Arabidopsis thaliana: one gene and its partner. The protein of the gene in region 1 interacts with the protein of each later gene in a biochemical or structural test. Each region holds a gene or a part of one and is shown on either strand. Other genes may lie near its edges. The genes, in order: PSBP-2 and DEG7.

The links.
Region 2: the proteins of PSBP-2 (region 1) and DEG7 form a complex in vitro, tested with the Arabidopsis thaliana proteins (one study listed by BioGRID).

What each region holds. Positions count from the first base shown.
Region 1 is NC_003071.7:13,114,413-13,129,439, reverse strand, and holds PSBP-2 (photosystem II subunit P-2), read left to right. Parts: upstream 1-9,240; 5' UTR 9,241-9,595; intron 9,596-9,676; 5' UTR 9,677-9,843; coding exon 9,844-9,909; intron 9,910-9,995; coding exon 9,996-10,046; intron 10,047-10,132; coding exon 10,133-10,393; 3' UTR 10,394-10,503; downstream 10,504-15,027. Other genes in the region: AT2G30810 (Gibberellin-regulated family protein), read left to right, coding at 810-872, 956-1,000, 1,186-1,216, 1,314-1,495; HVT1 (helicase in vascular tissue and tapetum), read left to right, coding at 2,805-2,919, 3,081-3,171, 3,245-3,575, 3,730-3,804, 3,924-3,968, 4,141-4,234, 4,351-4,409, 4,514-4,639 and 6 more; AT2G30780 (Tetratricopeptide repeat (TPR)-like superfamily protein), read right to left, coding at 11,381-12,478, 12,633-12,893.
Region 2 is NC_003074.8:792,466-808,762, forward strand, and holds DEG7 (DegP protease 7), read left to right. Parts: upstream 1-7,034; 5' UTR 7,035-7,254; coding exon 7,255-7,540; intron 7,541-7,829; coding exon 7,830-7,900; intron 7,901-8,043; coding exon 8,044-8,178; intron 8,179-8,436; coding exon 8,437-8,495; intron 8,496-8,696; coding exon 8,697-8,733; intron 8,734-9,055; coding exon 9,056-9,181; intron 9,182-9,634; coding exon 9,635-9,724; intron 9,725-10,166; coding exon 10,167-10,232; intron 10,233-10,326; coding exon 10,327-10,383; intron 10,384-10,506; coding exon 10,507-10,572; intron 10,573-10,796; coding exon 10,797-10,904; intron 10,905-11,223; coding exon 11,224-11,304; intron 11,305-11,650; coding exon 11,651-11,700; intron 11,701-11,856; coding exon 11,857-12,022; intron 12,023-12,423; coding exon 12,424-12,900; intron 12,901-13,457; coding exon 13,458-13,640; intron 13,641-13,711; coding exon 13,712-13,817; intron 13,818-13,947; coding exon 13,948-14,118; intron 14,119-14,237; coding exon 14,238-14,317; intron 14,318-14,396; and 11 more. Other genes in the region: AT3G03350 (NAD(P)-binding Rossmann-fold superfamily protein), read left to right, coding at 28-91, 233-268, 463-652, 911-987, 1,071-1,163, 1,481-1,579, 1,782-1,883, 2,068-2,088; AT3G03360 (F-box/RNI-like superfamily protein), read left to right, coding at 3,040-3,041, 3,167-3,800, 3,915-4,097, 4,163-4,453; AT3G03370 (uncharacterized protein), read right to left, coding at 4,958-5,129, 5,240-5,418, 5,979-6,098, 6,218-6,309, 6,383-6,416; AT3G03400 (EF hand calcium-binding protein family), read right to left, coding at 16,280-16,297. UniProt on the Arabidopsis thaliana protein: Probable serine protease.

The DNA of each region.
Region 1 (15,027 bases):
CATAATTTCGTACGTTTTTACACTCGCGGGCGCGTGTGATCCTACGTGGCCCAATCCTCTTCATTCCTTCTAATAATATTTTTTAGCTAATTACAGTATCTGTGACTGTTAATGTGAGTAGTTTCTATTGAATCTTAGTGTTAGATTAGGACGAATTGATGTCTAAATGTTGATGTTTAGTGTTGAATTTTCTTAGATTGGGTTTGGTGTTAGACTATTCTAGTATTCTTGAACATTCTTATATTGAATTTAGATTGTTTGTTGCACTTAAAATGTTTGTGAATTTTTTTTGAACCGAACTTAATTGAGCATTTTTTTCATTTGCTAAAGAGAATTGATGTGAAGATGTTTTGTGAGCACAATGGAGTTTACTGCTATTAACCTATACTAAGTATCAATAGCTTTTATTTGTTTGTGAAAAAAAACAATAGCTTTTATTTGTCCTAGGAATTATTTAATAGATTAAATAACAGCTATTTTTCTCTTATTTCTTAGTGATTAAAATATTTAAAATACAGACCAAAATTAATTGTTTATGTTAATATATTTACTCCTTAATCCTTTATATTAAAATTGTATAATGCATGTAGTTAATAAATTGTTTTCCAAAATTCATTCATAATTTTATTCCTAAATTATTTTGGTCAAGAAAACACATCTTTGAATAATTAAATGCTTCCTTGTATTTGATAATTTCTTGATATTTTAAAATACCTTCTATACTATGCCAATGTTATTGGTTATAAATAGGTTTAACATTGATCCTGAAATATATCATAAGAAAATCAAAAGTGAAATAAGAGATCAAAATGATGAAGCTCATAGTTGTCTTTGTTATATCCAGTTTGTTGTTTGCTACTCAATTTTCTAATGTAAAAATTATTATTATTTTCTTCATATTATGATTTATGAATTCAGAGAAATAAAGTTTTTTTTTTTATGTGTGTATGTACAGGGTGATGAATTAGAGAGTCAAGCTCAAGCACCTGCAATCCATAAGGTATATTTAAATTATAAAATATCAAATACTGAATAATAAATAATAAATATATTACAACAAGAATATCAATGTTATTTTTCAAACTACATAATTTTAAAATATTTTATTGATAACACAAATGTATATTATTATCGTCTCCATTGATTTGCATTCTAAATTTGTTTTTGTTATCCAACCAATTTCAGAATGGAGGAGAAGGCTCACTTAAACCAGAAGGTAAATTGTTTAAAAGATATTATTTTTATTTATATAGTAAATGATTGATCAAATCACAACTTAAATAATTTAATTGTTGATTTATATTTTTCTGAAGAATGTCCAAAGGCATGTGAATATCGATGTTCGGCGACATCTCACAGGAAACCATGTTTGTTTTTTTGCAACAAATGTTGTAACAAATGTTTGTGTGTACCATCGGGAACATATGGACACAAAGAAGAATGTCCTTGCTACAATAATTGGACGACCAAAGAAGGTGGACCAAAATGTCCATGAAAACAAAAAATTGTAAAAGCAAAATAAAATCTATCGTTGTTATCTCTCAATAAAATCTATGTTTGTAATCCTTGTTTTTCAATATAGAATATAATATGGAGTTTTCATAATTTCTTCTATTACAAAATTAAAGTTAATGCACAAATAAATTGAAGGGACTTGGACCTTTTCGTGTAAGTTCTTTCTTTAAATCACGAACAATTTAGATTTATATTTTCACTCTTACAAACACAAAACATGGATGCTCTTTAACTCTCATCCAAACAAAATGCATTTCTCTCTTTCTTTTTCTAAACATTTCACAACAATATCCCATATTATATCTAAGATATATGATCTTTTTAAATTGAATTTATTTAGGCCATGTTTTAAAATCGTGTTTGGTTAGATTGACCCATGAAATGTTGACATATTTTAACATTCCTAAATATGACTAAAAATGATTAAAGATATTTAATAATATATTTGCTCTATTAAAAATGATTAAATAAATAATAATAAAAAGTATTTCCAAATAATTTTTTAAAAAACATGTATTTATAATATCTCCAAATAAAACATAATCATGATCAGAAAATCCAATTAAACACATATATCCATAAAAATTAAAATAGTTTCGTCAATTCAATGTTAAATCATTTTCATCTAAGTTAGGAATGAATGTTTTAAGTTTGACAAAGAGACGAGAAAACTTTAGAAATCTCCTCCCGTTTAATGAATCAAAATTATAGTCTTTGTACTTTTTGGATGATCTCCTAGGCGATGCTCCAGATCCGGATCGGTCCACAACAGTCCATCGTCTCACCTCGATAAGTTTGACAAGATCTCATTCATTCTCCTGGAGTTGGTTAGCATTCCAAACTACCATTTACCATCTATACATTTTCTTATACATTTTGTTACTTAACCTGCACAATTATAGTAGTTACGTCACTTTTTAGTACTTGTAAGATTTTGCCACTAGTTTATAGTATATACATTACATATAAGTACAATATAACATTCCTTACTCATAAGATTTTGCTTATCAACTACAGACATACATAGAAGTTGGAACATTTTTAGAGCCCAAAGGAATGGGCCTAGTATGCCGAAGCATTAATTTATTTTATTTTCATCAAAAAAAAAAAGAAAAAAGAGAAGGCGGTTTATAATGCCAGCAAACTCTGCAAGGGCAAAAACGAAACTCATCGAACAAATTTCGAGGCTTTGCTTCTTGAATCTCACAAGAAGCCGTACAGTTTCTCAGCTTTCTAGTGTTTTCTCGGGTAGAAGAGAGATAGAGAGACAGAGCAAAGCCTAATAAGCGATGGGGAACAAGAGATTCAGGTCTGATAATAATGCAGGGAAACCAACTTCCGTCGAAGCTACTAGGATTTGGGCGACTAAGGTCATCGAAGACTTTCGAGCCTCTGGGAACGAAGGTGAATTTAGCTCCGGGAAACCAAGTCTTCTCCTTTGGATTCTAATTGTTTCCTTCTCTGACCGATTCTTTCCAGAAATGATTTTATGAGTCTGAGATTGATTACATAAAGCTCTAATCTTTGGGAATTTTATTGAATTTTGGTTGCATTGTGTTCTGTAGTTTACACGTTTGAGCATAATCTATCAAATAACGAACGTGGAGTGATTCATCAGATGTGCAGGAAAATGGGTATTCAATCGAAAAGTTCTGGGTGAGTTAGTGTTTTTGGGTTTGAGAAAGTATTCATTTTTATTGTTTCTGATTCTGGGGGATGCTTTTAATAGGCGTGGGGAACAAAGGCGTCTTTCGATATTCAAAAGTAGGCATAAGAATGGAAACAAGAATGAAGCTAATGAGAAATCAAATAAAGAGAAGCTCAAATGTGTGTCATTTCCGCCGGGAGCAGATGTTATTCTGCAGGAGTTATTTACTCATTACCCACCTTGTGATGGAGATACGGCTGCAACATCGTTTACCAAGTACTCTGGTAACAAGGGTAAACAAGGACAATGGAAAGATGATTTTTTCCGGAAACCACAGATTAGCAGTGAGGAGATTCTAGAAAAAGTGGCATCTTTGAGTTCTAGACTTAAGAAGGATAAAGCTCTTAAGGAGGTTAGGATTAATACCCTGTTGCTGAGATGTGTGTCTTTTGTTTGAAAGGACTGTAATTTATGATTCTTTATCCGGAATACAGATTGAGAAGTTATAAATCATGTCAAGTATCAGCAAGTGAAAGGAAATTGTTTTTTGTTGATTTATGTTACAGATCACTAAGCTGCGGTCAAAGCTTCCCATCACATCCTTTAAAGACGCAATTACATCTGCAGTGGAATCCAATCAGGTTCTGTGAAATTTTTGATATGTTCTCTCTTAGAATTTACTAATTGTATGGTTATGCTTGCTGTGGTGATTTCCACTGCTTGAAAAAGAATTCATCATACATTCTTATTGTAAACGCAGGTTATTCTCATTTCTGGTGAAACTGGTTGCGGGAAAACTACTCAGGTGTTTGTTATCCCTTGTTTTTCGGTAGTCTAGTAGAATGATCTCCTTAGAAATTTTGCTTACTGTGAGCTGCGATTGTGATATTAGCCATGTAAAGAGTGTTCAGTTGAATTTGCGTTCAATATTTTCATTCTCGAGGTTTCTCAAGTGCCTCCATTGTTTAATGTTTTAGGTGCCTCAATATCTTTTAGACCATATGTGGTCAAGCAAAAGAGAAACTTGCAAAATTGTTTGCACCCAACCTCGTCGGATATCCGCCATGTCAGGTTGACATTTTTTTATTCAGCTATGTATTTGTGTTGATCTTTTGAAATTTCAAGTTTATCCACATGTACGCTGTATAATGCTTACCCCTTACTGTCTTTTTATCCCTCTTTTGAAGTTTCTGAAAGAATATCTTGTGAAAGAGGTGAAAGCATTGGAGAAAACATTGGTTACAAGGTTAGTAATCTTTGTAGGTAGACATATTTGCGTTTGTACATGAAAGGTGATTGTGTTTCAATATTGTAGACAAGTGCACCATTGACTTTATATGTAAATCTCAGGTTCGACTCCAAAGCAAAGGTGGAAGGCACTCATCAGTTGTTTTCTGCACGAATGGTATTCTCCTGAGGGTGCTTGTAGGAAAAGGCTCTGTTAGCAGTGTTTCCGACATAACTCACATCATTGTGGTACTTTACATATTTCTTATCTGCTCTGCTATCATGTGCCTATTACGTGTGTGTTTCATATGTATGATGAGTATTATCGGAAAATTAAATCGCTTGTCAACTGTCACTATGAAAAGCCTTCTTGTTGCTGTTTGTCATCCCAGATCCTCTACCTTTCACTTTGGCTTTAAATTTAATTCTGTAGCTTTCTACATTGATCAGTGCGTTCATGTCTTTGTAGGATGAAATCCATGAAAGAGATTGCTATTCTGATTTCATGTTGGCAATTATAAGGTAGACATCCTTGCTCTCAAACGTTGAGGTTCTCAACTTGTCAATTGTCTATTAATCAAATCAAGTGTATGTGACCTAAGAAACTGATTTTAAGGCTATTGTTTAATGCCGCACCATAATTTATGTGCTAAATAATAAACTGGTACACATGTATTTATCTTCTCTTAAGCCGCAAACCATGAAAGAAGATAATTAATTTACTTTCTTTGAATGTATGATATAACTCATATGAATTTCTGATGCTTTTGTTGATTTGCAGGGATTTGCTTCCATCAAATCCCCATCTCCGTCTGGTTAGTTAAGCTTTATGTTCTTCTTGCTTTTCACTGCAATGGTACACTTATAACAAGAGAACAAAATGAAGAAGGATTGGCTTTGTTTATGTTTCTTTTCGTTTACTAAATAGAAGAGGGAAGCGGATATATTAGAGGGGGTGACTCTATACGGCCTTGTTACCTCTGAAAAGAAAGGAAATAGAGTAGGTTTTGTATTTTTAAAGGTGTCTCCTTCCCTCCGGTATTAGAAATTAAAAGATGACACAATACAAGTTACAAAATAGATTTCTTTCCTGCTATTTTTGTGTGTTGGCGAAGTGACGTTCTTAGAATTTTCAAAAAAGATACTTGGTCGAAAGACACTGAGAACAAGTGAACTCCGACAAAATTGTGTACATAGCCTAAGAACCTGAGATAGCTGGACTTGATGGCTTGGTAAACGTCTTTGAATATGGCCTGACTACAGTACTCTTTAGCTGATTTTTTGAAAATTTCTGGACCAATAGATTCTCATGAGTGCTACGCTTGATGCTGAGAGATTTTCTGGATATTTTGGAGGTTGCCCGGTTGTCCGTGTCCCTGGATTCACTTATCCAGTTAATTTCTCTTTTTCTCTCTATATCTCGAATATGGTAATTCTTTTATGCCCAAATATAATCTCCTTGCTTTGTGTCTACAGGTGAGAACCTTATATTTGGAGGATGTGCTCTCTATTCTGAAATCAGGTGGAGATAATCATCTAAGCTCTACCAACTTGAGTATATCAGACCACAAGCTTGATTTGACGGATGAGGATAAACTTGCTTTAGATGAAGCAATCATCTTGGCTTGGACAAATGACGAGTTTGATGCCCTCTTAGATCTAGTTTCTTCTAGAGGAAGTCATGAGATCTACAATTATCAGCACCAATCAACCTGGCTAACACCACTAATGGTCTTTGCTGGAAAGGGCAGGATCAGTGATGTCTGCATGCTCCTCTCCTTTGGTGCAGATTGGAGCTTAAAGTCTAAAGATGGTATGACTGCATTAGAATTGGCTGAAGCAGAGAATCAACTAGAAGCTGCTCAAATAATCAGGGAGCATGCAGACAATTCCCAGTCTAATTCTCAGCAAGGACAACAGTTACTTGATAAATACATGGCGACAATCAACCCAGAGCAGGTCGATGTGAGTCTTATACAACAGTTAATGAGGAAAATATGTGGCGATTCAGAAGACGGTGCGATTCTTGTTTTTCTACCTGGATGGGATGATATAAATAAAACAAGACAGAGATTACTTGAGAACCCTTTCTTTGCAGATAGTGCTAAATTCGACATTATATGTCTTCACTCAATGGTTCCAGCAGGGGAACAGAAGAAAGTTTTTAATCGCCCCCCTCCAGGTTGTCGCAAAATTGTGCTTGCGACAAATATTGCTGAATCAGCAGTTACCATTGATGATGTGGTTTATGTGATAGATAGTGGCCGGATGAAGGAAAAGAGCTATGATCCTTATAATAATGTTTCAACTCTCCAATCTTCTTGGGTATCAAAAGCAAATGCAAAACAGCGTCAGGGTCGAGCAGGCCGCTGCCAACCTGGCATTTGTTATCATCTCTATTCTAGACTTCGGGCAGCCTCTATGCCAGATTTTAAAGTTCCTGAAATCAAGAGGATGCCGGTAGAAGAACTCTGCTTACAAGTACTGCTCCTCATTTAATTTCTAGTTAATAGCAATTGGTTCTATGCTGTGAGCCGTTCGTGCGTATGCAATCTCTTACTGATCATTGCCCTTTGATTACATTCTCAGGTTAAGATACTTGATCCAAATTGTAAAACAAATGATTTCCTTCAGAAACTGTTGGACCCGCCTGTTGATCAAAGTATTGCAAACGCCTTAAGCATACTACAGGATATTGGTGCCCTGACACCTCAGGAAGAGCTGACAGAACTTGGAGAGAAATTTGGTCATCTCCCAGTTCATCCTCTGATTAGCAAAATGCTATTCTTCGCTGTGTTAGTAAACTGTCTGGATCCAGCACTTACTCTGGCATGTGCAGCAGACTACAAGGAACCATTTACGATGCCCATGTCGCCTGTTGAAAGACAGAAAGCTGCTGCTGCAAAACTTGAACTTGCATCACTTTGTGGAGGTGACAGTGATCACCTTGCAGTTGTTGCTGCCTTTGAGTGCTGGAAAAACGCAAAAGGAAGAGGTCTTTCAGCAGAGTTTTGCTCTCAGTACTTTGTCTCTCCAAGTGCTATGAAGATGTTGGATCAAATGCGTAGCCAACTTGAGTCGGAACTTAAAAGACATGGGATTATTCCTAACGACATTTCAAGTTGTAGCCAAAATTCGCGTGATCCCGGTATACTCCGTGCTGTGCTAGCAGTAGGATTGTATCCTATGGTGGGAAGATTGTGCCCAGCTTTTGGTAATAATCGAAGAACTATAGTAGAGACTGCTAGTGGTGCTAAAGTTCGTGTCCATTCGCTGTCAAACAACTTCAACTTGTCGTCTAAAAAGTATGATGAATCTTTACTCGTTTTCGATGAGATCACTCGTGGAGATGGAGGCATGCACATAAGAAACTGTACTGTTGCTCGTGATCTTCCTTTGTTACTTATCTCAACAGAGATAGCTGTGGCCCCTACAGGGAGCAGTGATTCTGATGATAGTAATGAAGAAGAAGAAGATGATGAAGAAGTAGCAGCTAATACTAATGAAGAAGTAGCAGCTAATACTAATGAAGAAGGAATGGACATACATAAAGAAGAGAGTAGGCGTGGAGCGAAAATGATGTCTTCACCTGAAAATTCAGTCAAGTTAGTAGTTGATCGCTGGCTGCCTTTCAGAACCACAGCCCTTGAAGTTGCTCAAATGTACATTTTGCGGGAACGACTAATGGCTTCTATTTTATTCAAGGTGAGTTTAGAATCCATTATGCTTAAAACTACTCCATACTTTTAAGGGTTCTTTTATTTGATTTGATTTCCAACTGTTTATTGGCAATTTGTAGGTAACACATCCACGGGAACATTTGCCACCTCATCTCGGAGCTTCTATGCATGCAATAGCTGGTATTCTCTCATATGATGGTCATGCAGGACTTTCATGTCCACCGGAGTCTATGGTACCAAAACATTCAAGGACTGAGATGTATGATACCGGTGGATGGGAAGAGAAACCAAACTCTTTCCTTAACTCACTCTTTTGGTCTCTGAGTTTGAAAGAGAACAAGCATCCTAGTCACACGAATAGGAATCAGCAGCATAACTACAACATGGCTCCAACAGAAGCTGCATCAATACCTAGGCAGCAAAACTATAAGCAAAGAAATCCCAAAGCAACCAACAATACCGATTCGGGTAAGAAGAAAGAGAAGATGTTTGTTAATCCCACCAATAGGATTAACCAGCCTGAAGCTGCTTCTACGGGTAAGCCATCAAAGCACAAATCAGCCAACAGTTCGGGTTCGAGTAACAAGAAAGAGAACATGCCTTCTGATCAGGCCTATGGGAATAAGCAACATAACACAGTTCCAAGAGAAGCTGCCGCACCAATGGCGAAGAATCAAAGCAGTAAGAAAACCAAGACCAGGTCAGGCAACAACTCGGATTCGGGTAAGAAGAAAGAACAGTATATTCCAAAGAGGCAACGCGAAGACAAAGCAGAACAGAAGTGAGATGCATGAAAAGAGATTGTTTTTGGTTTTGGGTTTTGGTTTGGGTTTGGGTTTGGGTCCCATGAAAGCAGAGGAATTGATGATGTATAAACAATTCATGTTTGGATCCATGTCTCTTCGGTGGTTCTTGGCTCAAAGTGTTTCTATTTATCTAATCATGAAACGGAGTTTTTAACGGTTTCATGTTGCTCTAATATGTTCCAGAGTATTGTAACTATTGTTGTTGTTACTCATAAAGCCTCTTCTAGCAGTTTCATACTTTCATTTTACTTCCAGTGAGATCAAACACGTCGAAATTCATTCAGACCAGTAGGCTCACAGCCACGTGGCAAGATGGAGCACTTATACAACCTTATCCCGACATCCAAACAGAAGATTAGATGCCCAAAAATCCAAAAATTAGCCAATAAACAACTCTTTTCTTAAACTCCATATTTACAAACAGTTTCATCACTTTGGTCTTCAGGTTGCAACAAGAAAGAGAAAAAAAGAGAATGGCGTACAGCCCGAGCTTCTTACACCAGAGTGCACTTGCCTCCTCTGCCGGACGATCATCATCTTCATCTTCATCGTCGTTTCGTCATGTGTCCCTCTCGAGACCCGTCCATTTAGTATGTAGAGCTCAACAGTCTCAGGAAAACAATAACTCTGCTGTTTTCCGCCGTCTTGCCCTTACCTTACTCGTTGGTGCTGCAGCCATCGGATCCAAAGTCTCTCCTGCGCCGCCTATGGTGAAGCCGGTATGATCCCACTTTCTCTATATACATTTTGAGCATATATCAATGAGAATCATGAAGCAAATCTTGATTGTTGTTTTGCAGCTAATGTGTTTGGTAAGCCAAAGAAGAACACAGATTTCCTGCCATACACAGGAGAAGGATTCAAAATCCAGATCCCATCAAAGTGGAACCCAAGTAAAGAAATTGAGTATCCAGGACAAGTACTAAGATTCGAGGACAACTTTGACGCCACCAGCAATGTCTCTGTCATGATCACTCCTACAGACAAGAAATCCATCACTGATTACGGTTCTCCTGAACAGTTCCTCTCTCAGGTTTCACTCTGTTTTTAAAGCAAAAACGGTTCAATCAGACGATAATCACCACAACACAGCTGATGATAGGTTTCTGGTTTCTGCAGGTGAATTATCTCCTCGGGAAGCAAGCTTACGTCGGCGAAACAGCCTCTGAGGTAATTTCCTTTTCTAGTTGGTGAAGGAGTTTTTGGGTTCAAACAAGAACCAATACCTTAAAGAGTGTGACTGATCATTTTTGCAGGGAGGGTTTGATGCAAATGCAGTAGCAACTGCAAACATTTTGGAAACATCTACACAAGAAATCGGAGGGAAAGAATACTATTACTTGTCGGTTCTGACAAGAACAGCTGATGGAGATGAAGGTGGGAAGCACCAACTGATAACAGCCACTGTGAATGGTGGAAAGCTTTACATTTGCAAAGCTCAAGCAGGAGACAAGAGGTGGTTCAAAGGAGCTAGGAAGTTCGTTGAGAATGCTGCTACGTCCTTCAGTGTTGCTTGATATGAATCATAAACATTAATGGAACGCTCTGTTATCTGTTGTCTTCTTCCTCATTGTCCATTGTATAAATAATGGATCAAGAAAAGAAAACAATCATTTGATATCTATAACTATTGTTTATCTTTCTCTGATCGTTAAAGTACTGCAAAGAATTGAAATGACAAGGAAACAAAAATCTTGATAAAATTAAAAGATCCATGGCTTATTCGTGAGAACTTGTAAATTTAGTAACTGAGATCCCAGTGACGTCTCACTATACTGAAACATCATGTGTAGCTGAGCTATCTGTTTTCCTCAAATTTACAAACAGGGCTCAAGCCTAAACAACAGAGCAGTATGTGGATGTAAGACTGTGATAGCCTAACAACAACAAAAATTAAGTTACGACAATCTGGAAATTTAACCCAGGGGTGGCAGAAAGAGAAACCCGCTGCAACATCGGTCAGGTTTCTCTTCAAGGAAATAACTTCACTTGGCAGAGCCATCAAATAGGAAGAAAATCATAGCTCTTCTAATCGTATCGGCAAACACAGGTAAGACGTCCAGATAGAGCAGGCACTGTTCTTCATGGATCACAGAGAATTTGTTTTACCGAGGTTTCTCATCTGCCAACAGGATCAAAATCTGCCATGGAAATTTCAAACCCTGCCTGTAACATGTACAACTATGGCAGACTAGTGATGGTTGAGTCACTCATGACGGAAAAGAACTGTGGACTAGTCTTATCCCAAAACCCCTAATGACGGATTATGGAAGCATATCCAGCATCTTTTATTCAGCCTCATGGGGGACAGTTCTACAACCTGATTGCTAAAAAGGGAGACCAAAGCTAAGCACAACTCCCTGGTAAGTCACTATAAACAGGAGACTTGTGAAAACGCAGAAACAGCACTAACCATTTGATACTCAGTTTGGCCAGAGTTCACACTTGATAAAGACACTGAACAAATCGAAACAACAGAATTCTTTGTGCAAACTGAAGTGCATCTAAAGCCCACGTTTCAGCATCTTTCCCTTCACTTTCTCAGCATCTGACTCCATTCCATGGTTTTTATAAGCTTTAATCATAATGGCGAACGTTTTAGTTACAAGCCCATAATTGGTCTCTGCCATCTCATTTACAACACCTTCCATTTCTTCAAAGCGTTTTTGGGATCCATACATCATGATCTTACAGTGGTAGAGAGATCTGCATAGTTTCCACCCAGCAGACTCAGCACGCTTGACGAAATTAGCAAGATTGTCAACTTCATTACACCTGAAGTAAGCTGCAATGATTGCTCGCATGATACTTGACTTATTAACACATGTCTTCTGCTCAAATGCCTCGTTGATTTTACTCTCCATTGCTTCCACAAAGTCTTCTTGAGCATATAGTCGAATCAAAAGCACATTCAACCAAGGAAGATATTCCTCCCCAGAGAGAAGACTCAATAAATTTTCAATCTTTTGGACTCTATCCTCAACAGCTTTCTTACAATATGCACAGATCATAGCTCTGACCAAAGGACCACTGTTTACACCAACCTGATCTTTAATCACTTCATACATTTCTTCCATCCTATTCAAATTCCCAGAATTTGCATACCCACGAAGCATTAGCTGATAAGTATCTGTGTCAGGCTCAACTGGACCCCTCTTCATTTCTTGAAAAGTAGCTTCCATTTTATCCCAATTCCAGGCAGTCATGTAACCCGCAATTAGAAAGTTGTAAGTGACAGAATTAGGAGGAAGCTTCACTTTTTGTAACTCTTCAAAAGCTGCTTCCATATTCTTTACCATCAAAAGTCGACCATAAACAGATACTAGAATATTATATGTCACAACGGTCGGCGCACAATGCGTTTGCCTCCTGAAATCTTTAAAAAGCGACTGACATTCCTCAGCAAGCCCGTTCCACATGTAAACACTCATCAAAGAATTATAAACTGAAGCAGTCTGCATTCGTTTCTTAGCCGCCTCATCGAAAAGATAGACTGCAAGGTTAATATCCCTAGCTCTACCCGCAATTTTGATTCCTTTAGCATACTCCTCCGATGTCAAGGGGATACAATAATCCTTTTGTCCTCTCCTCCACTCTAAAACCTAAACATTAACATAACATCAAAAACCTACGAAACAAACTCAACTAATCTACAGTGATGCTAATAAAGATTCAAACTTTATAGACTACAAAAGATCAGGGCAGTGGCAAGAGTCAAACTTTATAGAATTCAAAAGATAGAAGAAGAAAGGAAACCTGAAGAGCTAAGTAATGACGAGGAAAGAGTTGATCCATAAGCTCTAAGATCCCAGCACCATCACGATAAGTTCTAAACAACCATTGCCCTTTCTGATCCAAAACATTTTGGAACTTCTCCTTACTGTTACCAATCGTTAAAAGCTCGTCTTTTAAAATCGAAACTCTTTGGACCAAATCAGTGTGATGAGCTGGTAAGCTAGTTACTCGGGTGAGTTTGCCGATAAATTGACTGCCGAGTTTCACAAAATTTGATGCCATGAATTACGAATTTCCTTGGAGCTGAAGCTCCGGGGATTACTACTAATAGACAGAATCGGATCTGAGGATCTGCAAATTGTGCAGAGACCCCAAAATTAGGGTTTATGGTAAGTACTTAGGAGGAGAAGAAGAAGAAGAGTGATAATGGGCCTGAGGCCTTAAACTTCGGTTAAGTAGACCGGTGCATCAAACCGTATGCTAATTGTACTTGGTTTACGGTTTACCCATTCACAATTTTAAAATTAAATTGCATTTTTCCTATGTATTTTAGACTTTAGAGAACCTATATTTTATTGGTAAATATGGTTTTTGATATAAAATAATTTAATCATATTAAATGTAAGACTCGGTAAATTTACGATTTTATAAATTTTTACAAGTTTTAGCTAATTGGATTACTGATTATATAGTTTTTTTTACTGATTACATTTATGCAACTCTAAAATGCCTTAGTTTTTGAACCTCACTTTCTACTTTCTCTCTTATTGGGAGGCTCTCCAGTAACCATGTTTTATGTTTATATATTCGTTGGGTTCACGGTCACAACCCTAATATTGTGCTTAGCAAAATTTGAATTTGTCTCTTTCCAGTGTTTCCATATTCAACGTTGTTGAATATTATTAAGATTTTATGTTCTTGCGCACACCAAAATGTGTCTACGTCAACGTGGGCTCGCGAGGTCTCTGAGTTGAAAAAAAAAGAGATTTTCTTCTCATATTTTTTAGAGAGAAAAAACAACAATAGACCATGTGTTGTGACACACCTCCACCACCTGCTTAATTTGGCACTAAATGGATTTAATTTACTACTCGTCACTTCAAACCGGTGCCGACTAAAAAGCTAACATTTATTTTTGTCCGAAAACAGCAAAAAAATGCTACCAACAATTTCAACGGATGCTAAACTTTTGGCGCTTATACACCATTATGCATTATAATATATATATATATATAAATATTCCAAAACATCTTGTTTCTATTCAAAAATTTGTAAAAACTCGATAAATACTTTGACGTGGTTACCCCAAAAAGAAAAAAAAAATACTTTGACTCAAAACAAAGATAATTCTTTTATATTACAAAGGACATTTACATATAAAACTGGATTAAGGGCGTACAAAATAGCAACCAACGGTAATCTTAACATTATAGTAAGAAATAGTCTCGCAGATTAAAACCTATATATATCACCTCCGATCCCATGATGGAAAAGTGTTTCTGTTTTAGAATATGCATATGTAAAATAAAATAGTGAAATTAAAATTACTTTTTTCAACACTTAACAGATGTAGGCATTTCAAATTTTGAATTTTACTGCTAGCAGAAAATATCCAAAACTTCCAGTACTATTTTTGAAATAACTACATATATACAAAAGATTCTTACGTTATAGGAAGATATAAAACTAAACTCAATTACTCAAACATGTTAGTAATAATAAGATTCATATATCTGACTTTTTGATATTTAAAATTTTCATTGTAATTGGTAACATATAATTTTTTCCTTTATTTTTATAATCAGAGGGTGATACAAATTTTATCGCTCTACTAATCCTCCCAAGGTTAGTGTAACAGTCGAATACTTCATTCACCAAATTTCTTAGTAAATCTTAAAACAACTCTACTGTTAAAACAGAAAATTTTCCAAATTGAATAAGTAAACGAATAATCAAAATTTTCATTTACAATTTAAATTAAGATTTTTTTTTTTTGTAGAATATATGAAAATACATGAGCTAGCTATTTGTAGTTGTGAGGAATTTGAGATTTTTGAAGTTTGGCTGACTCATTCAACAACTAAGTAACATTATATCGGGTCGCATTCAACAGCTAAGTAAGACCGGCCGGGTAACTTACTTAACTTCAGTAGTCGACACTTTGATTATTTTAACTAAAGTAACTTCGTTGTTGAATGGGTAAGTCAAACTTCCAAATAAAAGTCATCGTATGTTTGGAAAAGTAAAAGTCATCATATATTCTAAAAACATAATATATTAAAATCATATTATTATACGGATACACGTTTTAGGTCTTTTACAAAAGAAAACCATCTACATGGCAAATAATATAATTCAAAGATGAATTTGGATCAAACACATTTTGAATCAAAAGTGTTAATTTGGTTTGTTAATA
Region 2 (16,297 bases), on another chromosome or scaffold:
ACTATGGAGTTGCACATAAATGGTTAGGGATCAGAGGAATAAGTTGACTCAGGAAGTTTCTTCTGCTTTCAGCGGCAAGCTCAACATCCTTGTAAGTTCCCTTCTCATGCTAAAGACATTTGTTGTTTTCTATGCTTTTTTTATTGAATTTTCTACACATTGGAATCTTCACCAATCTTGAAATTCTACATATCACATTAGCTCGTATCCTTGCAAGTTTCTTATCCGATAGAACAATCTTCGAACCATTCTGCCACACTTTTATCAGGTTTCTATATATGTTTGGTCTTAGGATTGAATGGTTTAGACTTTTGGTGGTTTTGCCTCGAATGATCAGCTATCTGTCTATTCCATACATGTAATGTGAAGGCTTACGGTTTTTTGTTGAACCATATAGTGATGCTTGTTGATCTCATGTAAGTTTTCCATCTATTAGGCAAGATCTGTTATATGTTAACATAGTTAAGATTACCAGCACCGGAGGAAATCGCGTCACTGGTTGCTTTTCTTTGCCTTCCTGCAGCCTCCTACACTACAAGACAGGAAGAGCTAAAAGCATGCTTAAATGATTGCAAATCCAGTGGTTTAGTGGTGTCTGGTTCGGTTAGAGATCAGAGGGATAAGTTGATTCAGTGGCAAGCTCAACATTCTTGTAAGTTCCCTTCTTCTGCAAAATGCTTGTTAAAACTGACTCTCTAGTTTTTTCTCAGCATTGTGATCAGAATCGTCATTGATCTTGAAATAGTTTATTGCATTAGCTCTGCATCCTTATAAGTTCCTTCTCCATCAAAACATCCTCATACAAATCTATTTGCTGGCTACGCTTTTGTCAGGTTTCTTCATTAGGTTTGTCTTAGCCTTGAACGGTTGAGATTTGTGTTGGTTTTGCCTTAAATGCTCTGTACCTTAGTTTTATGTCGTTTCATCATCATATTTTTTTTCTTGCAGAAATCCAAGGCATCGGATGCAAGTGAGGAAACTATCAATGTACTAAATTAATTGCATAAAATCCGTAGGCCATACAATGGTTTGCTTGGTGACATATGATTATTCAATGACTTTGTGTGCAGACTACATTCGATATCAATGTCTTTGGGACGATAACTCTTATAAAGTTGGTCACTCCTCATATGCTAAAACAAGGAGGCGGTCATTTTGTTGTGGTACGTGGAGACTAACGAGGGATAGTTTTTGTTAAGTGCCCTAATTTTGTGGATTTGTTGAAGGATTGAGCTTCATATCATAGTTTATGGATATGGATATACATTGCGTTTTTTATATGTTAAATCTAAGGCTTTTAAGCTATGTATAGATAGTTTAAGGTTTCTTTTGTATTTTTGTCTTCTGCTTGCTAAATTCCAAATCATGTTACCGTATACACATCTTGAGAAGTCAAACTACGGTTAGCTATTCTTGTATGTGTTAATTTTCCATTTCCTTGGGTTAAATGTCATGATTAATAATTCACGTCAGTCTATAGATAAGCAGTGCTGCAGGAAAGGTACCATCACCTGGACAGGCTATATATTCTGCTTCAAAACATGCTCTGCACGGCTACTTCCACAGCTTGCGTTCTGAGGTATGTTAAAAGTTAAAGAAACTGTGGTGCTTGCTAATTATTTGGCAGCTAATGACTTATTGAAAGTCACAATAGAAAACTCACAGCTACCTCAGAGTTTTCTGATTTGATTTTTTCTTTTACATTCCTTTTCACTAATTGCTGAGAATAGCACCATAAAGTAACAATTCACAGTTGGTTCACAATCTGCCTATGGTTTCAGTTCTGTCAGGAGGGAATCAAAGTGACCGTCGTTATTCCTGGTCCAATAGAAACGTTGAATGGTACAGGAACATCAACTTCGGAAGACAAGAAGTCTCATGAGGTTGGTTAACTGATTGTGATTTGTTGATTAAGTTGTCAGTTTTTTGTACTTGTACCTTTCCTTTAAGCAACTAATCAGTCTTGTAGACACATAGAATCCTCTTCCTTTTCAACATTAGGATCTTCTATCTCCGGCTTCTTTCTCTTTTTATTTCCACTCAAAGATCTTTTCTTTTGCTACACAGAAGCGTGTGTCATCTGAATGATATGCAGAACTGACTATAATCGCCGCGTCTCATAGCTTGAAGGAAGCTTGGATTTCATATCAGGTACTTGTTTGTCAAAATCGCATATGTTTCACTCAGTTTAGATGCTGATATACGATCTTCTTTTTGCTATTTATCAGCCAGTACTGCTTGTGATGTATCTAGTGCAGTACATGCCTTCCCTTGGCTTTTGCTATTTAGTTTCTTTGCGCTCAAGAGGTTTTCAGATGCAGCTACGAGATAAATCGGACTACTGTATATAGTAATCCAACAGGCTTTTGAGCCCAGTGGACTTGAGTTCCTAGAAAAGAAAAACCGAAAAGAAAGTTATGTGATGCGTATATTGAAGACTAATGAAAAGCTTTTGGGGATTCACTTGCTGCCAGAAACTCACAGACAACACTCCTGCCAAAGCTGTCACAAGGCTGATCACTGTTCATTCTTTCCTTCTCTGCAGATATGTGCCGGCAGTAATTTAATTTTTGGTAACTGCTTTCTCCTTCTTCTCCTTTACTCATTTCCCCTATATTTCCTTCCTTTTATCATCATTATATACAAATTGGTAAATATCATTTTTAGATTGTGATCTTCGAAAATTTATTATAGATGTCAATAGATCTAAAAGTTTATACAAGAAGAAAAGGTGAACTCGGAAACCGAAAAGATGGAGAAGGAAAGTCAGGAAAACTCGACCAGACCCGATGCTTCGTCTACTGTTTTCTCTTCCTCTAAGGTAATATCTCTCTATAATCCAAATATCCAATCCTTTTTCTCTTATGTGGGTGATGCGATATTTATACAAATTGCAGAGTACATGCGCAAGCCCTAGCTATCTCAAAGAAGCTGGAGACTTGATCAGTAGGTTGCCTGATGATATTCTCCAACTAATTCTCTCCTATCTTCCAACCAGATTGGCGATCAAAACTTCCGTTTTATCCAGGCGATGGAGGCATGTATGGTCTGATACATGGTCCCTCTCCTTCCATAGGGACAGACCGGATGCTCCTTGTATTAACAGAATCCTAGATCGCTACAGGGCTCCCAAGATGATGAGTTTTCGTATCTGTTCTTGTTGCAGGGCAGCCTGTATCAGCAGACCCGACACGCATGCTGACATCGACAGTTGGATCAACTTCGCCATGTCCCGAAACGTGGAGAATCTGTCCCTGTATCTCGATGAGGATAAATATGATATCCCTGAATTCCTTTACATCAATTCCTCTCTCAAGCAACTCTACCTTGATTTCGGCTGCAAAAAGGATTTTATATCTCTGAATCCCAAATGTTCTGTGTCTTGGACATCCCTGAAGAACCTGTCATTGTATCATTGCAACATCTCTGATGAATCCATTGCTATTATTCTATCTGGTTGTCCCATTCTCGAAAGCTTATTGTTGTTTTTCTGCAAGAAACTGAAGGTCCTTGATCTCAGCAAATCACCGCGTCTGATAACATTAGAAATCACTCGTAGATGTCGAATGGAGCCAACACAGCTCGTTGCACCACATATCCGTTGTCTCAGATTGATAAACTCTGAGAAACCATGTGCTTTAGTTGATGTCTCCTCTTTATCCCAAGCTGAACTAGACATTACCGCTTACGCAATAGTTGATAATAAACTGGAGGCTGATTTTCATCAGACCATGGTGGTAAAGATGTTAGAAAAGTGTCAGAATGTGGAGAAGCTTACTTTGGGGGCAAACTTTCTTAAGGTATATGTTTTCACTCCTGATTTAGTTTACATAATTAGGCTCTGATTTTCAAGAAAACTAGTGTGTTTTTTGGTATACACTCATTTGTCTTCTGTTTTTTTTTGTTTGTTATAGATGTTATCTCTTGCCGAGCTCCGTGGTGTTTCTTTTCCAAAGTTGAAGGCTAAAGCTCTGATACTTGAGACAATGATCTCTCGATATGTTATTCATGGTATAGTAAAGGTGCTACAAAACTCGCCTGACTTGAAGAAGCTAACCATACACCCAATGGGGTCTGCCGGCTCATATCCCATACCGGTAATTATGAATATTCCTTGACCCCGAATTTTGAATCATCATATTGAAATATACTTGCATTACAGGAAGAGCATATTGACATATACTTGGATTCTCATGGCTTGAATTGGGATCCATCCTGGAGCTCGGAGTTTAAGAACACTTCCCGCAGGAATGTAGAGTCAAAGCAAGTGGCTTCGTTTCTGCAACTTGTGCTTAAAACCATATCAACATTAGAGTTGATTGTCGCAAGGTTGGAAGGTTATATCAAAGGAAGACGTTTTGTAGAGTTGCGTCAGATGGTTCCAATGCTTCCTCGCAACAACGATGTCTCCATTGTGCTCAGCTCAAGAAGAAAACGATTCAGAGTGACTTAAGTCATTTTACATTTAAGTAGTACACTAGATGAAAATCTCTTGTTTGTTTTTCTTACTGAAATAATCGAATTCTGTTAAATTGATTTTAAGTTGTGAAATTGTTTTTACGTTTTACCATTTCCAATCTACTGGCTAACCTCGGAAAAACGGTCTAGTGAGCGAGCATTGCCTTGAGAAACAGTACCCGCCAAATCCAGCTCTCATGTACACAGTTTGATATTATTTCTTTCCAGTACTTTTGATTCAGCAACAGAGAGTTCTTTTCGGGCTATGTAAGAATCAATTTGCATTGTCTGCAGCCTATCCGGTGGGGAGCTGAGCCAAGGAGCAAGATTTGCTCCATATCCATTTTCTTCAATTCTAGTTATGCATGCCTTGAGATCCACGTACCTAAGATAAACAAAGAATCAGTCAGAGGTGACAAACCTAGGACAAAAGAAGTTGCGGAATCGAACAAATTTTGGCCTAAGGAACAGAAGCAAGGCATATCAAATATCACAAGTCTCAAGGTCTTGGATCTCTCTGAGAACAATCTTGATGGATCTCTCCCTTCATCTCCTGGGATACAGGCATGAAAGAATCTCTCGTAAGTTCATCTTCGCTTTTGCGTTTCATATACAGCTTCACTATCGTAATACATAACTTAGCAGTGAACTGGAAGAATTCAAAGCAAGGTCTTGCCAACAATAACGTCTGCCTCTACACTCTGATAGACCTCTCCATAACAAGCTATTCGGAGAAATCCCATATTCTTTAGGCAATCTCAAAAGCTTAAAGCTTTTAAACCTCTCATACAACGACATCTCTGGATTGATCCCACAAAGTTTTGGAAATCTTGAGAAGGTAGACCTTTCACACAATAACCTCTCAGGCGAAATCCCGCAGAAACTATCCAAGCTCAGTGAGCTGAATGTATGGAGTTGAGCAACAACAAACTTATAGGTAGAATCCATGAGAGTCCTCAGCTAGACAGATTGAACGATCCGAACATTTACGCAAACAACAACAAAATATGTGGAATGCAAATCCAAGAACCATGCTCGACACAGACCAAGCAGCCAGAGAAGCAATGTTTTCATGGAAAGCTGCAGTCATAGGTTGTCCTTGTGGAATTCTAATGGCAGTTGTCTAAATGTATATGGTTGGCTATTTCAGAGACTCATCACCACCACCAAGGCGATCTCTCAAGAACAGATGACTGAAGAAATCAAAATCTCTGTTTTTTTTAAAACGAAATGGAAGATTATTCAGATGCTGTAACATTGAAAAATAAAACAGTCTGTTAGCAATCCCTATGAAGTGATGTTATCAAGAGAGTTAAACAAAGTAAATTGTCAAATCACTTTCCAAAAAGTTGTATTTTGATCCTCTGTTTTTTACTCGATGAAAACAGAATCGTTTAATGTAAACATTGGCAGCATATAACAAATTCACAAAAATCTGTGTCTTTTTGGTGACATCAAGGATTTTAAGATAACAGCAGAGATTTGTTAAGCAAAAAGATTGTTTAAACAAGAAATATCACCTTCTTGCGATGACGATCAGTGTGAGACATATATTCCAATGGAACACGAGCACCCCTAGAAAGCTTTGAAAGAACAGATACTAAATCTCCAAGACCGGAAATGTCCTCATTAGCAACCTTCTTTATGATACAAAAATGGTTGCAGATACAATTTCCATCTTACTTATCCTCACTCCTAAACTTAACAACTGCATACAAGTAGCCAATGCACAAAGTAATATCTAGCTACTTTACTATACCCAAGAGGGATCTAGAATGTCAATTGCATAGAGTCCATGGTCATCATCAGGGACCAATACTTCAATATTATCATCCAACGGCTCTGTATAACCTGCCAACAAAATAACATTCAAGTTCAAGATCTGCTTCATAACTCACTTTTCTAAAAGTCCATAGTCAAACACAGACAAAATCTTCTAAGTGATCCTCATCAACCATTTGCTTTCAGATTTTGATTTTGGTGACAGGAATCGATTTGAGAAATAACCCCAAAACCTGAAATAGAATCAATTGTATCTAAAATGGGATTGAGAGACGTCAAAATTGTTTTGAATAGAATGAATTGTACCTAAAAACAACAACTTTCATCAGATTGAGAGAAGAAGACGAAAAACTAATATGGAGCTAGCAACATGTATACTATTTCACTTTTTTTAGAGTTTTTCAACCAATCAGAAGGCTGTATTTCACCCCCACTCTCACAAAGTGAGCGTTGAGCGCGTGAGAGCACTTCTGTGGGTGTACCCCTTTGGAAATCATGCCTTTTTTAATCTACGCACTCCTCTCTGAAATCCCCATCGCGTGCAATTGTTTTTGTTTTCTTCTCTTAACCAGTGTAAACCGAAACCAAAATCAATTCTAATTTAAACCTAACCGAAAAATCAATTTCAATTTCATATAAGAACTCCACTATCAAATTAACAAATCATATAAACGTAAGTCTTTAAGTATAATATTTTTATTAAATCGCGGTACAAGCCTAGTCAGAATATACTGTTTTATTTTTTCCAAAACATAAATTATACTATAATTTCATTTTGTCTTAACAGATATTTAATTTCATTCTATGTGCTATACTCTAATACTTAACAACTAATCGGAGCACTAAGAATATACTAATAAAAATCGCTTAGAAAGGCAAAACAAATTACTATCATCAGATTTCTTCCCCAATCTTCTTCTTCATATCCTTGAAGGAGAGAGTATAGAGAATCCGATCCAAAAACCCTAAACCCCATTTCCCGCGGATTTTCTCCCAAGCTGATACGGAGATCAAATGGGAGATCCGTTGGAGAGGTTGGGTTCTCAGGCATCAATGGCTACTGAGTCTGTCATGAAGGAGGACTTGTGTTTAGAGATCGATCCTCCCTTAACTGAATCCGTTGCCACCGCTGAAGATTGGCGTCGTGCTCTCGGTAAGGTTGTTCCCGCCGTCGTTGTACTCCGCACAACGGCTTGTCGCGCCTTTGATACCGAGTCCGCCGGTGCTAGCTATGCTACTGGTTTTATCGTTGATAAGCGACGTGGGATCATCCTCACCAATCGCCATGTGGTTAAGCCAGGTGCGCCTTTTGACTTGTTGAGAAACGAGTGTCAGAAGATTAGCTGGGTTTCAAGAATTCATAAGAGATGATGTTATTGTTGTGGAACTGTAGAACTGATCATGGTTTTTCAAAGTATTTGTTTTTGGATTGTTCGATTTTCCATAGGTATTAGTTACATGTTTATCTAGAATGGCTTAGCTCGATATGGATATGGAGATTATTTGGTCATTCCTTCTGGGTTTGAGTAGACAGAGAATCTCTTTAGAGTTCAGTAAAATTGATTTGTAAATTCTTTCTTCTTACGTAGGCCCAGTAGTTGCTGAGGCAATGTTTGTGAACCGAGAGGAAATCCCAATCTATCCTGTATACAGGGATCCGGTAAGTCATTTCGGTTTATGTTCGATCAAATGAGCATGCATCTGCAGGAGCTAGAATTTGTGTCTCATCTTTTTATGTTTACTTTTCTCCCTTCTCGACTTGTCCATTGTCATCAGGCTGACATTCTTTGGTATTCTTTTCAGGTCCATGACTTTGGCTTCTTTTGTTATGATCCCAGTGCTGTACAGTTTTTGACTTACCAAGAAATTCCTCTTGCCCCAGAGGCGGCTTCTGTTGGACTCGAAATTAGGGTTGTTGGAAATGATAGCGGAGAAAAGGTAAGATACATAGGATGGCGGATTACTTCATATTTTAGACTGTATTTTTCAGTTTCATGTTATAAAAGCAGTCACTTACTCAACTTAGCTCTCAATTTAAATTTTGATGAGGTCAGAACTGTCTATCTATTGTTCAAGTTATTCTGTCAAATGTCAAACTTAGGGTGCAAAAAAAAATGCATTTTAATATATGTTTGGTGCATTAAGACGCATTTATGGATAAGTAATGCTTCTGGTAACTGGAGTGTTGATTTGCAGGTTTCCATACTGGCTGGTACTCTTGCGCGGTTGGATCGGGATGCTCCACATTACAAAAAGTATCTCTGCTTCACTGCTCATGTTTTTTAGTTCTGCTTATTCCTCAACATGAAAATTTGTTTGATGTTACTTGATACTTGCATGAAATCTTCGTAATTTCATATAGGTAGTAATTGTTGAACTAGTAATATACCACCGGTACCTTTTATAGTTTCTTATGGCTACCTGCTTTGTAATTTTTATTTTATTTTTTGGTGCAGGGATGGTTATAACGACTTCAATACGTTTTATATGCAAGTAAAGTGACTCTGTCCTCTTTAATATTTATTGCTTTAAATTTTAGTCACTAACTTATTTTGAACTGAATTGCATGCTGTCACTCTGTGTCAAAGCCTTGTTTTCTCTTCTTAGTCGTGTCATGCTTATGGTTAATCCCTGTTTCCACAAAAATGTGTCTCTTACTCGTATTTACTCTAAAATATCACGAGTCTACCACTAGGGTAAAACTTTCCTGTTTGTAGCTTATTGTGCAATACACAAGTATGTTATGCTACTGTTATTCAAAGTGTAAACCTTACACATACGCTACTGTTTGTTAATATGGTATCTGTGTTTATAGGCAGCATCAGGTACTAAAGGTGGTTCAAGTGGTTCTCCCGTCATTGATTGGCAAGGCAGGGCAGTAGCTTTGAATGCTGGCAGCAAGTCGTCAAGTGCATCAGCCTTCTTCCTACCACTTCAACGAGTGAGCAATCTCTGTTTCTCGTATACTTGTATCGATGGTTCAGTTACGACTAGAATCGAGATGGTGTAACTTATTTAGTCACTGAAATAACCCCTGTAAATTCAGAACATTAGATTATTGTGTAGCTTCTGCTTCTGTCAAAGTTAAGAATTGATAAGTGTATAAAGCCTCCACTAGAGGGTTGTTTAATGTGCTTGGTATTCCGAAAAATAGTTCATGCTGGAAGTGTGTACAATGTTACGAATAAACTACACATCTACTTCAGATCTCTTCTTTTCATGTATGGGATCCTGAGAATCTAGTAGGAAACACTGGGAAAGTCAGACATGGTTCTGGATCTCATTTTTTTTGTTCTTTACAAATCATTTTGTATTTCAACCCCTATATTAATTTGAAGTTTAGTTAGAAATTTGCTTAAGACTTTTGACCAAGAATGGTTCTCTTGTTTGGAAGGTTGTTAGGGCGTTAAGTTTTCTCCAAAAAAGCATTGACTCGCGGACGGATAAGCCAAAAGCAGTTCATATTCCTCGTGGTACACTTCAGGTTTGTTTTTCCCTCTCTGATTTTTGAGACTCTTCATAGTGCCGTTACGAAAATTTCCGCGAATATCAACTTTTGACTCTTTTTTAAATAGCTGGGTTCAGTTTATTGTCTGAAAAACTACACATACCATTACATGTACATGGTATGTCAATTAAATGTATGCGATATGAATGTTGTGTTCAAATCCTAGAGGGAAAATATATACGTTGAAAATCGTGAATATTACTTGATATCTGAATGACCATGGAACTTTGATCTGGACTACTGTGGCTGGTGATAGAAAGAATATCCTTGGGATCTGAAATAGTTCATGGTTTAATTTCTATTCACTTTCCAACGATTGTTAGATTTGAGATTCAGAGGAAGTTCAATATCTCTTACTTAATTATTAGTTCTGGGGTTTTCTTATGTAAGCTTTTATCTGTTTTCTTGTGTACTTTAGATGACATTTCTTCATAAAGGATTCGATGAGATACGGCGACTTGGTCTCAGGAGCGAAACTGAACAGGTACATACTATTCCTTCTTACCATCATTTAGGGCATCAGCTTTCCTCGTGATGCTCACTAACACCTTACAAAATGCTATCTCTTGATCGTGTAGGTGGTTCGACATGCATCTCCAACTGGGGAAACAGGAATGCTTGTTGTCGATTCTGTGGTGAGTGCATTGCTTTATTAATAACATTCAATACAATAATTATTTTCAAAGAATATGGCTATTGTTTAAGTGATGGTTAAATTCGAAACTTTTTATCCTAAATTTGATATGTCGTGATGGTAGGTGCCAAGTGGCCCTGCTGATAAACATTTGGAGCCGGGAGATGTTCTTGTTCGGGTGAATGGAACAGTAAGTTGTCTTGATTGCATCTTCTTAGTGAGAATTTAAATTTTTTTTGCCTCAAGTAATCGAGAATTGTGATATCTTTTGCGGCAACATTAGTAAAGAAACGTATTGTTTAGAGATTGGTTATTACCTGGCCACAGAACGTATTAATCAGTGCACTTAGATTGTCTAGTTCCTTTTTCCTCAGTTTGCTAAATCTTCCTTTATGCGTTTGATTGTTATTACAGGTGCTCACACAATTTTTGAACTTGGAGAATCTGCTTGATGACGGTGTTGGCCAGATACTTGAATTGGAGATTGAAAGGGGTGGACAACCACTATCTGTTAGTGTATCAGTGAGTTCCATTCTTCTATTTCTAACTTTGGTTTTATGTTCCTCGTAGTCTTCTAGGATCTTGTGTTTAGTTTCTGCCCTGTCACATACTGACTAGAAAAGCAGGAGACTATGCAAAGACTAGAAGTAAAATATATGTAGCCGTCTCTTCTCTTTTATTTTGGTCATTAAATTTGTTCTTGTAGCTCTTTTCGTTTCCCCTGATAGATGGAGTTCCTCAATACTTAATTTGCATTTAGAATTCTGCCTTAATGTGATTTATACTTCCTATCTATCATAAAAATCAAGAGCCTTATGTGTTTGTGTATTTCCTGCCACAGGTACAAGATTTACACTCAATCACTCCAGATCACTTCCTGGAAGTAAGCGGTGCTGTAATTCATCCGTTGTCTTATCAGCAGGTAACTTAACTATGACTTGAAAAGATATTATCTGGAAATTTCTGTGCCTGCATGCATGATATTCTTGTGTCGTACAGGTGGAACTGTTGTGTTTAATTATGGCTTGTAACTATTTAATGTTCTATTAGTTGGAGAATCATATCAACATGCTAGATATTTTATTCATAATAAATGCTGTGGATCCACTTTATCCCCCACACTGTCTTGCTAGATCTGATTATGGAAGCATAACTAAGTGAAATAGTGATGTGACTACACTACCTCCTGCTAATAAAGAAGCTTACACGTATTTCACTGACACTTTCTTATTGGCATTAGCTGATCTTAAAATATTGTGATTTAACAGGCTCGCAATTTTCGTTTTCCTTGTGGCCTGGCTTATGTTGCGGACCCTGGGTAATTCCCTCTACTTCCGCCATCAAAATTTTCACGTTTTCTTGATTTATTTTTGACTGATGTGTCAATATTCTGACATGTGAGCTTATTGTTAATGTAAATGATTACGTGTCTCTGTATTTCTGGATTTACTTTGAAGAGCTCTTTTCTATTCAGATACATGCTATTTAGAGCTGGGGTCCCTCGACATGCTATCATAAAGAAGGTTGCTAATGAGGATATTTCCAGTCTTGGAGACTTAGTATCTGTTCTTTCAAAGCTTTCTAGGGGTGCTCGTGTTCCATTGGAATATATGTCTCACACTGATCGTCATCGCAAGAAGGTGATATTTCTTGTTTAAACAATCTTTTTGCTTAACTTCCTAACCCACTGTAAGCATATACTTGTCAAAATTTGATGCTAGCATTTATATATGATATTTTCTTAGGCTACTCCATATCAGCATCTTCATTCTTGCAAACAGTTTGTTGATTCTGTGATAATATTACCTCTCTACTCGGTGTTCCTAGTGTGTGAAATTTTGTGCTACTGCAGTGCTGCTAGATCTCTGTGATCACTTTTTACGGAAAACCGTTATCTTTAAGACTATAATTTTCACAACTGTGGATCTTTTTGCGTTAGCAACGTTCCTGTTATTAACATGCTTGCTTGTCCACGTTTCGTTTTGAACTCTATGTTAATACTCAAACGAGAAGTACTTATTGTCGGGTTCCATTCCTGCAGTCTGTGTTAGTCACGATTGATCATCATGAATGGTACGCTCCTCCTCAGTTGTATACCCGTAATGACAGTTCCGGTTTATGGGATGCGAAACCTGCAATTGAACCTGCTTCTGTTTCACCATCTATTGGTAATAATGGCTTTCCTATAAGCCAAGATATTTCTCTATGCCATCACGATACGGAACCCATGCATGAAGTGAATGTTCGTGGGGTTACTGATATTGCAGCGATTATGGAAACTTCTAGTGGGGATGGTTCTCAGAATGATTTTGGCTCAGAAGCAAAGAAACAAAGAGTTGACGAGGATTCTTCAGATGGGATTGCTGCAAACGGTTCCTTATATGGCAGTGAATTTAAATCTGATGATGCAATGGAAACAGATACTACAGTTTTAAGAGACTTCGAAGGTGCAACAGCACTGTCTGCTAATGCTTCATTGGCTGAGCGTGCTATTGAGCCTGCACTTGTCATGTTTGAGGTAAAGACGAAAACTTCTCTCAAAGTTATCAGTTTCACCAGCTGTTGAAATTTAATACTTTTTATGTGGTGTGCTATTTCTCACTGTTTCTTTTTTGATTCTTAGTAGTCAATTGATTTTTCATTCACAACATTTGATAATACTTGAGTAAGTTTGGGTGTATCAGTTGATTCAATAATTTGCACAGAAGATGGGTGTGTCACTGAACGTACCTGTATAAAATAGTATACAATGTTGACTTCAAGGTTCAGAGTTCCTACATCATCAAAGAGTACAATTTGATAACACAAAGTAGTTACTTAGATTATTTCTCAAGAACATGTTAGATTTGGTAACTACTTTTACAAGTCTGATAGATAACAATCTATGGAGGCTACAAGAAAACCATAGATGTATGACCTGGTGAACTGAATTACTATCTTGGTTAAATATGTTTCTGGTATATGCAATTTTAACTATTTCTTTATATCGTTTTTTTGGTAAAAAGTAATTATACAGTAGTTCTTATTGTGATTCAAGGCAACTTGCATCTGTTGAATCTAAGTTCTCTTATACAGGTTCATGTGCCACCATCGTGCAGTCTTGATGGTGTACACTCACAACATTTCTTTGGGACTGGCATCATTATATATCATTCTTCTAACATGGGGCTTGCTGTGGTGGACAAAAACACAGTTGCGATTTCTGCATCTGATGTTATGTTGTCCTTTGCTGCTTTTCCAGTCGAGATTCCTGGAGAGGTAATTTCCCTGGGAATCTTATAGTTCATGGAAGGAAGTGTTAGAACTGATCTTTCTTAACTGAACTGCAGGTAGTATTTCTTCATCCCGTTCACAACTATGCTCTGATTGCGTATAATCCATCAGCAATGGATCCTGCCAGTGCTTCAGTCATTCGTGCAGCTGAGCTACTACCTGGTATGTTGTTAACCATTTGAAAGTTCCATCGTTGCCTGTTTGGATATCACCATCTAACAGGTGATTATACTTGTGTGAAAATATGACTTAAAAGATTTATATATATGCTCTATGGCTATTGCCTGAACAGAACCTGCACTCCAACGTGGAGATTCAGTCTATCTTGTCGGATTGAGTAGGAACCTTCAAGCTACATCAAGAAAATCTATTGTAACCAATCCATGTGCAGCGTTAAACATTGGTTCTGCTGATTCTCCCCGTTACAGAGCTACTAATATGGAAGTAATTGAGCTTGATACAGGTAAAGAATTCGGAGCTTTTGACATCTTTTTTTTTTTTGGTAAACCAGAGCCTTTGACATTAAATTTAGTTATTTTAGACTTGTTCAAATCACACTTCGTTTTTTCTTGTTTCTTGTAGATTTTGGTAGCTCATTTTCAGGGGCGCTGACTGATGAGCAGGGAAGAATTCGGGCTATTTGGGGAAGTTTTTCGACTCAGGTTCGTCTTCCCACTTTGCAGTTACCTAATTTTTGTGTTTTTTTCTTTCTAACATGCTACTCTTGTGAATTGATCACAGGTTAAATATAGTTCCACTTCTTCAGAAGACCACCAGTTTGTCAGAGGTATCCCAGTATATGCAATCAGCCAAGTCCTTGAAAAAATCATAACCGGTGGAAATGGACCAGCTCTTCTCATAAATGGTGTCAAAAGGCCAATGCCACTTGTTCGGATTTTGGAAGTTGAATTGTATCCTACTTTGCTTTCAAAAGCCCGGAGTTTTGGTCTGAGTGATGAATGGATCCAAGTAAGCCATTTGTTAATATATTTTGTGATATTTCTGCGTAGATTGTTTATTATATCAATATATGTCTTTGTGCTTAGAATCTTAGTCTACTAAAATTAGGCATTCTCAAATCCGTTTACTATATTGATTGTTCTCACAGGTCCTAGTCAAGAAGGATCCTGTTAGACGTCAAGTTCTGCGTGTTAAAGGTTGCCTGGCAGGATCAAAAGCTGAAAACCTTCTTGAACAAGGCGATATGGTTCTGGCAGTCAATAAGATGCCAGTTACATGCTTCAATGACATAGAAGCTGCTTGCCAAACATTGGATAAGGGTAGTTACAGCGATGAAAATCTCAATCTAACAATCCTTAGACAGGTGACACCATTAACTCATTTTTCTTGAAACATCTTATTATTTATTTGTTTCTTCTTTATCACCTGAGTCTGTGACAAAAGTAGTTCGTATCCTTTTCTTGAGTTTCTTGACACAAATAATTTTAGGTCTACGTGTTTATTTAATCTCTTGTTGGTTTGTTAGGGCCAAGAACTGGAGCTCGTAGTTGGAACTGATAAGAGAGATGGGAATGGAACGACAAGAGTGATAAATTGGTGCGGATGCGTTGTTCAGGATCCTCATCCTGCGGTTCGTGCTCTTGGATTTCTTCCTGAGGAAGGTCATGGTGTCTATGTCACAAGGTACTAGTTAGTTGTGACCTACATATGAAATCTCAATTTGGTTTAATAAAAAATCTGGTTCTTACCAATTTATTTGTCTCAACCGACTAGAATTCATCAGTTGCTTTGATATACCCTTTGACAAATTATCTTCTCAGATGGTGTCACGGGAGTCCCGCTCACCGATATGGCCTCTACGCGCTTCAATGGATCGTGGAAGTTAATGGGAAGAAGACTCCTGACCTAAACGCATTCGCAGATGCTACCAAGGTTTTGTCTCTTTCTTTACAGAAGTCACACTTTCAATTAGTTTGGACGTGAAGAAGAGTTATGCAGCAACCATTAGGATTGCTTTTACTCTGATCCAAATTTTGATCTTAGATTGTTTCTTTTCGATTTTGGTTGCAACAGGAGCTAGAACACGGGCAGTTTGTGCGTATTAGGACTGTTCATCTAAACGGCAAGCCACGAGTATTGACTCTGAAACAAGATCTCCATTACTGGCCGACTTGGGAATTGAGGTTCGACCCAGAGACTGCTCTTTGGCGGAGAAATATATTGAAAGCCTTGCAGTAAAAGCCATTTGGTGTTTCTCTGAAAGTCTCTTATGTCTCTCATTGCTCCAACTTTGTTGTATTTCTATCATTCTTCTACTCAAATTCTTCATTAATTCATCATACTAAAAGACCTGTCACTACAGTTTACAGAAAAACTGAAGGATTTTACATCCAGTAAAAATGTTCAAATCAAAAGATTTCCCATGTTAATATTTTCTTCTACTTATACTTTTTAATTTACTTTTGATTTTGATCCCTCAAGCTGCGATCAAAACCAATTGATGATGTCATAAATCTTAGCAAACTTGAAAAAGCTTCAATTCGAAACTCAAATTGATGAACAGAGACTATAACATTATAGATTTATAGTGATCAAATTCTAGGCTTGGGTCCTTAGGAGGAATATATAGTCTACACTATTTCCTAGAACGCATCATCATAGTCTTAAACTCCTACGAATCT